3 linked regions of the Mus musculus genome follow. The protein of the gene in region 1 binds, or shares a complex with, the protein of each later gene. Links are inferred from orthologs where the notes say so. Each region holds a gene or a part of one and is shown in the gene's direction. Other genes may lie near its edges.

Region 1 (3,648 bases):
GATCTCGTTACGGATGGTTGTGTGCCACCATGTGGTTGCTGGGATTTGAACTCCTGACCTTCGGAAGAGCAGTCGGGTGCTCTTACCCACTGAGCCATCTCACCAGCCCGGTAAGAGCAGTCTTAACACTAATGTAAACATTACTTCATTACAGAAAGGTGTGTCTGCTACAGAGTTCTTTTTTTGTGGTGAGTGTGGTGCTGGAGATGGAACCCAGCCCAGCATGTGCTAGAACGGTCCACTGTCAAGTCATCTTCAACTGTAGACGTGTTTTACTATTTTGGGATGGGGTGGGTGTCTGCACATGTGTGTGTGTCAGACGGGGAGAGAGGCGAGGAGAAAGGTGGGTGGGAGGCAAGGTCTCATATTGTCATCCATGTTGACTTCAGGCTCAGTGCACTCTGTGCTTTAGCTTCATGAGTCAATGTGCCTGGCTCAGAGTGGGTTTTTTTTTTAATCCTGTAATTTGTTAATATTTTTTACTTTTTCTTAAGAGACTTGATGTATAGTCTTGGTTGAATTTAAATGTACACATTTTTATAATTTGTTTGGCTGTTGGTTTCCATATAATTTTATTTATGTTTTAAAAGGTCCTCTAAGACTACAGTAGAATTGTGAAGTCTGTGTACCAATTTTTCATTGTCATAAATAGTATTTTGAATTGTCAAACTCATAATCTTATATACTCACAAGTTATATATTGCATATATGCTTTAGAAAATTTAAAGCCTAAGATGGGACAGTAAACCATTTTATTACATTATTAGCATTCTGTGGTTTGATAAATGAGTTATTTTTTCTAGTTACTTAGAGAAATAATATGATTGTTAATGTTTAAATAAATACATACCATTTGAAGAACGCCTAAAACAGTCTCTGACCATGCCAGTTTGCAAGTGAATGAATGACAGCTATTTTAGTATTTGCTTCTTTAAAGTTTATTTTATTTATTTTTTTTAAGGATTTATTTTATTATTATATGTGAGTACATTGTAGCTGTCTTCAGACACACCAGAAGAGGGCGTCAGATCTCATTACATATGGTTGTGAGCCACCATGTGGTTGCTGGGATTTGAACTTAGGACCTTCGGAAGAGCAGTCAGTGCTCTTAACTGCTGAGCCATCTCTCTAGACCTTCTTTAAAGTTTATTGGTGTTAACGAATACTACTTTTCAAGATCAGTGATGTATCTGCGGACCCAATGTGAGCTGGGATGTAGTTGTACATGTCTGTAATCCCAGCACTTGGGATATAAAAGCAGAAGGACCACGGCATCATTAATCATAGTGAGTTCAAAGCCAGTCTGGGCTACAGTAAAGCAAACAACACAAAAGGAATACCCCCTAAACAACCAGATGTAATCATTTATTTATTTATTTATTTGAGGCAGATTTTCTCTCACAAAGATCCTCCTATCTCTGTCTCTCAAATGCAGGGATTAAAGACATGTGCTGGAGTAGAGAGATGACTCAGAGCACTGGCTGCTTTTTCCAGAGGTCCTGAGTTCAATTCCCAGCAACCATATGGTGGTTCACAACCATCTGTAATAGGATCTGATGCCCTCTTCTGGTGAACATGAAGATAGCATACTCATATATATATGAAATATGTATATATATGAACTCATTTACAAAAATACATAAATCCTTAAAAAAAATAGATGTGTGCCACCATGACTGGCCTAATTCAATTAATTTATTTTATCAAGTCAGATGTACTTCTTGATTTTCATACTGTGAAGTGATTTGACTTAGTCCAAGTCACAGAAGGTCATGTCTGCTGTCACTTACTCACCAGTGACTAGAAGCAGAACCTGCCTAAGACTGTTGTTTTTGTTTTATTCTTTTTATGTGGGTGTGATTTTTTTGTTTGTTTGTTTATTGATTGATTGATTGATTGAAACAGGGTCTCACTGTGTAGCTCTGACTGCCCTAGAACTCACTGTGTAGACCAGGCTGGCCTAGAACTCACTGTGTAGACCAGGCTGGCCTCAGACTCACTGAGATCCATTTGCTTCCCAGGTTCTGGGGTCAAAGTTTTATGCCACTACTTCTAGCTGAAATCTTACTCTGTAATATAGGCTGGCTCACACTTGGCAGTAGTCTCCTGCCTCAGCTTCCTAACTGCTGAGATTATAGGATTTGAACTTAGGACCTCTGGAAGAGCAGTCAGTGCTCTTACCTGCTGAGCCGTCTCTCCAGCCTTACTTTGTCTTCTAAAAGAGTAAATGTTCTTCAAAGTAGCTATGATAAAACGAGTTTCTCTCTAAAGAATGTATGCAAATAATGTATGAAATTTTCATTTGCTTTTAAGTAAGAAGCAAACTTTATGCTGACTCACTTGGTCTGGGATCCTAGATATCTGGTGTTTTAGGTCTGCTAGTTTATGTTCATATGATTCTTCAGGATGCCACTGTGTTGGGTGATGCTAGAATTTAAGAACATACACATGGGGTTTGCTTTTTATAAATATATCCAAATTGTGTTATTTTTACAGGCTTTAGTCAACAATCCTAAAATTGAAGTAGTGGATGGGAAATATGCCTTCAAACCTAAGTACAACTTGAAAGATAAGAAGGCCCTGCTTAGGCTTTTAGACAATCATGACCAGCGGGGACTAGGAGGAATTCTCTTAGAAGACATAGAAGAGGGACTGCCTAATTCCCAGAAAGCTGTCAAGGTAATGTTTCTTTTCCTCCTGTATCATAACTATAATTTGAATTAGTAATGTTGTGGTTTTTTATTTTCCTGAGACAGGGTCTTACTATGTATGTAGCCCTGGTTGTCCTGGAACTGAGAGATCTGTGTGCCTTTACCCCTGAAAGTGGGGGTTACCATGAAAGGTGGCTACCATGCCCAGCTTCTTATGCTTTTTTTTTTGGTTTTTTTTGTTTTTCGAGACAGGCTTTCTCTGTGCAGCCCTGGCTGTCCTGGAACTCACTCTGTAGACCAGGCTGTCCTGGAACTCAGAATATCCGCCTGCCTCTGCCTCCCGAGTGCTGAGATTAAAGGCATGTGCCACCATGCCCGGCGCTTCTTATGATTTTAAGATACACTTGTTTTTATGCGTGTATCTTTGGGTAGCTGCCCATGTCAAGGAAAGGAGAGGGTGTTGGATCCCCTGGAGCTAAAGCTCACACTGCCTGCTGGGAACTGAACTTGGGTCCTTTGGAAGAGTAGCAAGGGCTTTTAACTTGAGTCATCTTTCTAGTCTGCTCTTCATGGTTTTAAACTTGAGAGAGAGAGAGAGAGAGAGAGAGAGAGAGAGAGAGAGAGAGAGAGAGAGAAAGAAGAGGAGGGGAGAGGAGGGGAGGGGGAGGGGAGAAGAGAAGAGGAAGGAAAGAAAAAAGGGAGAAAGAAAGGGGAGGGAAGAAAGTGGAGTTATTTTTAAAGTCTTTATTCTGTATACATGGGGCTTTAGTGGTCCAGTTAAAATTTGAATTTTGTGGAGCTGGAAGGATAAATGGCTTAGCAGTTGGGTTTGTTCCCAGCACCCACATGGTGACTCACAGCACTGTCTAACTCCACTTCACAGGGATATGACTCCCTTTTCTGACCTCTGAGTGCACTAGGCCCACACATGGTGCACATACCTGCATTTAGACAAAGCACTTACACACAAACTAAAAAACACTTTGTTCGGTGCCAC
Region 2 (3,648 bases), on another chromosome or scaffold:
TCCACTGATTAGCATCTCCTTCCCTTCCTGCGCTCAGCTTCTCCAGCATAAACTAAAGCTGGGATGGGGGCATGTTATAATGCTTGGACTCTAGGTCCGATCCTGGTCCCTTGTGCGTTCTTTCTCCCCAGTGCACTTACTGTCGTAGTTCTGTCTTTTGGACCAGAGAAAGCATGTATCCTTCTAAGAGACCCAGAGAAAGCATGTATCCTTCTAAGAGACCCAGAGAAAGCGTGTATCCTTCTAAGAGACCCAGAGAAAGCGTGTATCCTTCTAAGAGACCCAGAGAAAGCGTGTATCCTTCTAAGAGACCCAGAGAAAGCGTGTATCCTTCTAAGAGACCCAGAGAAAGCGTGTATCCTTCTAAGAGACCCAGAGAAAGCGTGTATCCTTCTAAGAGACCCAGAGAAAGCGTGTATCCTTCTAAGAGACCCAGAGAAAGCGTGTATCCTTCTAAGATTCAGACTGCGCGCGTGGTTTCCTTTTATGTGGTTTTAAAGACACTCTTCCCTCATTTTTGCATGCTTTTTTATTTTTCTTTCTTTTACCACTGAGCCAAGTATTCTACCACTGACCTCTATCCCCAGCCCTTTTGGGATTTTTCTAACTTGAAATAGTTTTGCCAAGCTGCCCAGGCTGGCCCTAGATTCACTCTGTAGCCCACACAGCCTTGAACTTTTGATCTTGTCTCTGCCCCAAAGTACCTGGCATGCAGTTGAGGTTTTTGTCTCCGTCGTGAGCTTGTCCTAAGAAGTTCAGAGAACATAAGGAGCTTAAGTGCTTACACCATAGCTCATGTGCAGGTGTGAAGCTGCTCCTCACACTGCAGTCATCCCCGTGTGCAAGCCTTGCTCTCTGCTGGCCTGGTCCAGGCCACCAAGGCTTAATTTCCCAGGGAGCTTTGAGACCGACCTTCCTCCAGGAAACCACTCTGCCTTTCCAATAAACAAACAAACAAACTGAACCAACTGAAATATGTTGTGTGTATGTGCGCACACATGCAAGCACATATTTGTGGAGGCCACAGAACCCTAAAGTACTTTTTTTTACCTTGAGAGTAGGTTTCTCATTGGCATGGACCTCTTCAGAAGCTCAGGTGTCTGCCTGCCTAGCCCTGGGATTCCGAGCGCTTACCACTATGTCTAGCCTTTGACCTGCATTCTGGGGGTGGAACTCAGGCTCTCGTGCATTTGCTAACTGAACTGTTCCCAATTTTCAGTGCAAAGTAAATTTCTACAAATGATTAGTACCAGGGTAATAATGGAATTGACTAATTTTCAAATTTTATTGATATTCATTAACTGTACAAAATACTAGGTTTCATTACATTTCATCCATGTCGATACAATTGATCATTTCAAGCCCCTGTTACATACCCTGCTCCCCTGCTCCCCTCATCTATCTTCAGGCTCTCCTACTTTCAGGTATTATCTCTAGGTTTCTTTCCTCTTTTGATTGTTGTTGTGGTTACTACCACATGTTGTCTTAGCTAGGGTCACTATTTCTGTGATGAACACCATAACCAAAGCAACTTGGGGTTTTATTTGGTTTATACTTCTGTATTAGTGTTCATTATTAAAGGAACTCAAACAGGGCAGGATCCTAGAGGCAGGAGCTGATATAGAAGCCAAGGAGGGGTGCTGCATACTGGCTTGTTCAGCCTGCTTCCTTATAGAACTCAGGGCCACCAGCCCAGGAATGCCCCCACCCACTGTGGGCTGGGTCCTCTCCCATCAATCACTAATTAAGAAAATTCATTATAGCCAAATCTTATGGAGACATTTTCTCAATTAAGTTCCCTTTCAGATAATTCTACCTTAACGTCAGTTGACACAAAACTAGCATGTGTGTGTAAGTATACATCCATACCAGCTGCTGGGTCCATTTGATGCTGCTCATATGTATACCCTGGTCACTTGCTACTAGATAACCAACTAGGGTTCATCCCTGGGGAAGGTGTATGCTCCTTTTCTCCACAAGCATCAGTTGCTGGGGCTCTTGATTTAGAGGCAGGACTTTCTGAGATTTCCCCCTGAGTTGCAGGTCAACTGGTATTATTCAGGTCTTTTGAGGCAACTATAGTGTTGCACTTTGATGGGTGCAGCTTCTCTGTCACATTCAGAAGAGTCTATCTCACATCGGATGTCCTGATCCTGTGGCTTTTAACAGTCTTTCCACTCCGTCTTCTGCCGTGCTCCCTGGGTTGTGTTGTGAATGTATCTGTTGCTGGTGGACGCCCCAGGGTCAGTTGGTCTCTGGTCTCTCTGTTCTTTGGCCATTTGTAGCTTTCTATAATGTTCTCCATCTGCCTCAAAGAGAAGCTTTTCTTGTGAGAGCCGAGAGTTGTTTCCCATGCTGATGTGTGTGAAGATGGGTAACTCTGTGATGATGATCCTGGTGTCTTGATTTTATGTGTATAAGAGGTACTTTACTTTTTATATTAAAAATTAGAGAATATTATACATGCAAACTTCAAGGACATCTGAGGTGATGTGAGACAAAATGAAGATTTAAAAAAAAATAATTGGCGTCAGCGCTGAGTGTATCTGCCTTTCTTGTTGCCGCCATACCTGCTTGAGTGCAGATGTAAAGCAGAGCAGGGGCAAAAGGGAGGAGGCTGGCGCGCCATCACCACTCTTAACCAGCGCGTCCCACACTCTCGGTGGCTAAAGAACCTGTGCTGGGGCAAACCTGTGCCCAAAAGCTCCTAGAGCTGTCACCTAGCAAGTGCAGCTTACTTCATAAAAATGTCTTACTGTATCTTGATTAGTCAAAAACAAAGGAAGTGCTCGTTAGTTTCTGGGCAAGCCAAGCAGCAGGAAGAAATCCTCCTTGGGGAGAAATGAATGTGTTACGTAAAGCTTCATAAGAGATGAAAGTGTTACAGTTGACCAGTGTTGCAACTGTCCTAACGTCTGAAGGTACTTCGAGTCCTGCAGCGACCAGAGTTTCCAGTTCTAAGTCCCTGCCCGAGGCTGGCGGCGTGAAACTTTAAAAGTGGTTTTCAGGTGACTGAGACCTGTTTCCAAATGATTTCTTTCCAAATAATGAATTGATATCTTTCTTTGTTTTTGCCTATAGATTGAATATGAAAGGAAGAAGAAAGAGGATGGAAAGCGAGCTCGGGCAGACAAACAACACGTCCTAGACATGCTGTTCTCTGCCTTTGAGAAGCATCAGTACTATAATCTCAAGGACTTGGTGGACATCACAAAGCAGCCTGTGGTATGTACACATTCTCCTGGTCTTTACACTTACCCTGCCTCATTAGCGTGCTATTAGTGCGGAGGAACATGATTTAAGTTTGAATCCACTCTGCTGATGGAGTTTATGTCAGCACTCAGAAAACAAAATTAATGCAGCTTTGTCTTTCAAACATGTGCTTCATGACTTTAGATTTAAAATACATTTTAGAGCCATTAAAAAGGTTCAGTTTATAAAGGCACTCAGTTCAAATGCCTGATGATGCCCAGAGCCCACTTGGAAGCAGTGAACCTATCCTGAAACTTGTCTTCTGACTGCTGTACACACAGCCAGGCACTTAATGTGTGCACACATAATAATAAAATGTCAGGGCCTGGAGAGGTGGCTCAGTGGTTAAGAGACTAGTTGTTCTTCTAGAGGACTCAGATTTGATTCTGAGCACCT
Region 3 (4,144 bases), on another chromosome or scaffold:
CAGTGTACTTGGCAAAAACTTGTCTTTCCCAGTTGGGATCAGCCTAAGTTCTCAGGCAGGAACTGGTGATGATCTGTAGATGAGCTGTCAGACGCACATCAGGACAGAATGGAGGCATCTGGACTTCCAAGGACAGACCTTGCCAGTCTTGGTGGCACACGCCTTTAATCCCAACACTGAGAGGCAGAGGCAGGCCATTCTCTGCGCTGTTGAGACCTGGTCTCTATACCAAATTTCAAGTCAGCACACTCCCCCAAAGAAAAGGAGAGGGCTGGTGAGATGGCTCAGTGGGTAAGAGCACCCGACTGCTTTTCTGAAGGTCCGAAGTTCAAATCCCAGCAACCACATGGTGGCTCATAACCACCCATAATGAGATCTGACTCCCTCTTCTGGAGTGTCTGAAGACAGCTACAGTGTACTTTCATGTAATAAATAAATAAATAAATAAATAAACAAATAAGAAAGAAAGAAAAGGAGAAAGGGGCGTTCCTGTGAACTCCCATTGTATAGTTGGAAGGGTTTAGCCCTGGAATCCCTTTCCCTAGGATTCATTTTCTCACCACCTTCTCAAACTTTTCACGAGTTAGCCCACCATATACACACTTGTTTGTTCATTGTGTGTATGCCCGCACATCGATTGTTTTCATTTTAGATTTTTAGTCGTTTAACTATGTTTATCTGTGTGTCTGCATGTGGGTATAGACCTGTAAGTGTGGCCCTTGGAGGCCAGAGGCATCAGACTCTCTGGAGCTGGAGTTACAAATGGCTGGGGGCCACCTCATGTGGGTGCTTGCATCCGATTTCTCATGTAAAGTGCAGATACACTAATAAAAACTTGTATAAAAAGGGAAATTGAGGCACATGAACCTGGCTGTTCATCACTGGTCTCTTGCTTTCTTTCGAGACAGGGTTTTCTCTGTAGACCTGGCTATAGAGCAGGCTGGCCTCGAACTCACAGATCTGCTTGCCGAGGACGGGGATTAAAGGCGTGGACTACAGCCCGGGAGACGCCTAAGGGAGGGAAATAAAACTGTTATCAGGTCAAGTATCGCGAGATCTTCCCGACGCGCGACACCGCCCCGGTGAAGGCTGGGGCTGCCCAACGCGCAGCCTGTCGTGGAAAGTAGGTTTATTCCGGCGTTCACCTTAGACAGCACGAACCTGGGCGGGGGCCTTCCCAGCCCTTGGCGCAGGCGCACTGCCGGGGGGCGGGGGGCATTTTGTGCGTCCGGCGCAGGCTCCGTGCTGGCAGCTCCACGAGCGCGCGTGCACAGTTGTTTGGGAAGCGCGACAGCATGGACGACGAGGAGGAGACCTACCGGCTGTGGAAGATCCGCAAGACGATCATGCAGGTGATCAAGCGTGAGGAGCTTTATGCGAGCGAGCGTTCAGTTGCGGACTAACTGCGGGTTGTCCGCCGAGGCCCGCCTCCCGCAGGGGCCAATCCTCCTGGATTGGAATGCATCCCCGTTTAAAGTGTGGAGCCCACCCACGCTGGCTTCAACTCTTAGAAATCCTACTGCTTCCACCTCCTAACTCTGCCTCAGGGGAAAAGGCCTGGGTGGGCTCCGTTTCGGGAGAGGGGGCTGCTGCGTGGTCACACTTGGTTTTATGCGAGCTAGGTAGCCGCCCACACGAAAGCTATCAACCATCTGTAACCCCAGTTCCAGGGGATCTGACGCCCTGTCCTGATCTCTGGGGACTCCAGACACACATAGGATGAAAAAACAGTATTTTTAAAAACAGAACAAGCCGGTATGATGGTACACGCCTTTAATCCCAGCACTCTGGAGGCAGAAGCAAGCGAATCTCTTTAAATTAGAAGTCAGCCTCATCTACATAGTGATTTCCAGAATAGACAAAGTCACGCAGAGAAACCCTGTCTTGAAAAAGAAAAAGGGAATAAAAGAAAAAATTCTTGGTTGTTTTGAGTTGAACACATGAGACACCATTATTAGATAAAGAGGTATGCATAGTTTTGACTTATGCTGTGTTGGTGGAGCCCAGGGCCACCTCATGCCTGTTCCTCAGCCCTGATCCTGGATGATGCTCTAGTCTCCCTCATCAGGAACACTCAAGACTGGGGACAGGAAGGTGCCTGTATTCAGAAGGTTGCCTACAGTTGCCAGGGGATTAATCCCAGCCTGCTCCACTGAGGTTGGGGGGAGGAGAGGCTTGGCCGGGCCGCTGTGGTCTGAGCCTATACAGAGTTTGGGTACTGCTGGATCAGTTCAGTGTTAGTCCCCAGCCTCGGCCATTCAGGGTCAGGTCTGCGAGCTAAGTGCTCAGGCTGACTGCCTCTTTGCCTCTTGTCTCTGCAGCTGTGTCATGACCGTGGCTACCTGGTGACCCAGGATGAACTGGACCAGACACTTGAGGAATTCAAGGCGCAGTTTGGGGACAAGCCCAGCGAAGGACGGCCAAGGCGCACAGACCTCACGGTGCTGGTGGCCCACAACGATGACCCCACAGACCAGATGTTTGTGTTCTTCCCAGGTGAGGCCCTTGGGCTGGCAGGAGTGGTCTCCTCCAGGCCCTGGCTCAGGTGCCAGTGAATGCATGTCCCACTCTGGCCTAACGCTGCCTGTAAGATTGTGGCAGCTGCCTGCTTTTGTCCCTGTCTCCCCTGGGAAGCCTCCCTTTTGCTGGTGTCGTTTTCATCCCATAAGCCCCAGAACCAGCTCTCAGCCCTCCACCCCCTGGCTCCTATATGCTGTATTCTATAGCTTCTGCCTGGGAGTCCCAGGGCCAGCTATGCCACCCCCACACCCCCTGTGTGCTGTATTCTACAGCTTCTGCCAGCAGCGCAGGTGTCTTGTGGGAGTGAAGGCTATTGGGGAGCCCAGGACCTCCCTGTGCAGCTACATTCAGTCTCCCCAGACAGCTTGCCTCTTTTAATACCTAATGCTTTGTGGCCCCGGGACCTGGTTTTTAGTGTGAGAATTGGGGGGTGCGGGGATGGGCATGGTAGCATATGCCTGTAAGCCCAGTGTTTGAGAGGCAGAGGCAGGCAGTCGAGGCCAGCCTGGTCTATACAATGACTTCCGGGACAACTATGGAGGGCATTGGTTCTCAGCCTTCCTGATGCTGGGACCCCTTAGTACACTTCACATTGTGACCTCCAACCATAAAATCTTCATTGCTAATTCATAACTAATTTTGCTACTATTATGAGTCATAATGTAAATATACCTGTGTTTATCCAGCAATTTGCAAACTAGGTGGCCTGGGTCTGCTCCTGCGCTCTGCCTGAGGAGACAAGGCTAGCCTCATGTAGACACAGGGTCCATCTCTTGGTCAGTCAGTTTCTCCTTGAGGCTGTCTAAGCTGACAGTACCATATCCCCCAAACCCCAGAGCTGCTGAGAGCCCCCACCCCCGTTCCAGGGGGGCCGCAGTTCCTGCATACCCTGCAGCTTCTGCAGTGATAGCTGAGCCCCCTGGCAGCCCCATCATGGCTGCCTTGATGTTCTAGTCTTCCCTTGCAAGCAGAGAAACTAAGACCACAGGCTCCAGTAGTGAGTGTGAGGGTGGTGCTTGTGTGCCCGCAGAGGAGCCCAAGGTGGGCATCAAGACCATCAAGGTATACTGCCAGCGCATGCAGGAGGAAAACATCACACGGGCGCTGATTGTGGTGCAGCAGGGCATGACGCCCTCCGCCAAGCAGTCCCTGGTGGACATGGCCCCGAAGTATGTGCTGGAACAGTTTCTACAGCAGGAGCTGCTCATCAATATCACAGAGCACGAGGTGTGTGTGGTGGGGTGGGGCGTAGTGCTGCCTGCATCCAGGACACGGGCCGGGGCGGGGTGCTTCCCCGGTTTTGGCCCTGAGCATCCAACTTGGTGATATTAATAGCCTGGTTTTGTCCTCTGTCCCAGCCCCATGACAATACCCATTAGTCTGTTGGTCTGTTGAAGTTCCTGATGGCCGCGTGCCTGTGGGTGGGTCTCTGTCTCCACAGCTAGTCCCTGAGCACGTGGTCATGACAAAGGAGGAGGTGACTGAACTGCTGGCTCGATAGTATCCTTTACTCTGTCCCCACACCCCCCTCACCCCAGCGCTGCCCGCCAGCTGCTTCCTTGACTGTTCTAGCAAGCTTCGTGAGAGCCAGCTACCCAGAATCCAGGCCGGGGACCCAGTGGCA

Evidence for each region.
Region 2: Gtf2e2 (region 1) and Gtf2f2 share a complex: the UniProt entries of both Homo sapiens proteins name them as parts of the TBP-based Pol II pre-initiation complex. The link is inferred for Mus musculus from reciprocal best matches to the Homo sapiens genes GTF2E2 and GTF2F2.
Region 3: Gtf2e2 (region 1) and Polr2e share a complex: the UniProt entries of both Homo sapiens proteins name them as parts of the TBP-based Pol II pre-initiation complex. The link is inferred for Mus musculus from reciprocal best matches to the Homo sapiens genes GTF2E2 and POLR2E.

What each region holds. Positions count from the first base shown.
Region 1 is NC_000074.6:33,756,060-33,759,707, forward strand, and holds part of Gtf2e2 (general transcription factor IIE subunit 2), read left to right. Parts: intron 1-2,496; coding exon 2,497-2,679; intron 2,680-3,648. UniProt on the Homo sapiens protein: Recruits TFIIH to the initiation complex and stimulates the RNA polymerase II C-terminal domain kinase and DNA-dependent ATPase activities of TFIIH. Both TFIIH and TFIIE are required for promoter clearance by RNA polymerase.
Region 2 is NC_000080.6:75,906,360-75,910,007, reverse strand, and holds part of Gtf2f2 (general transcription factor IIF subunit 2), read left to right. Parts: intron 1-3,081; coding exon 3,082-3,225; intron 3,226-3,648. UniProt on the Homo sapiens protein: TFIIF is a general transcription initiation factor that binds to RNA polymerase II and helps to recruit it to the initiation complex in collaboration with TFIIB.
Region 3 is NC_000076.6:80,036,791-80,040,934, reverse strand, and holds the start of Polr2e (DNA-directed RNA polymerases I, II, and III subunit RPABC1), read left to right. Parts: upstream 1-1,275; 5' UTR 1,276-1,295; coding exon 1,296-1,352; intron 1,353-2,321; coding exon 2,322-2,496; intron 2,497-3,550; coding exon 3,551-3,747; intron 3,748-3,961; coding exon 3,962-4,020; intron 4,021-4,092; coding exon 4,093-4,144. UniProt on the Homo sapiens protein: DNA-dependent RNA polymerase catalyzes the transcription of DNA into RNA using the four ribonucleoside triphosphates as substrates.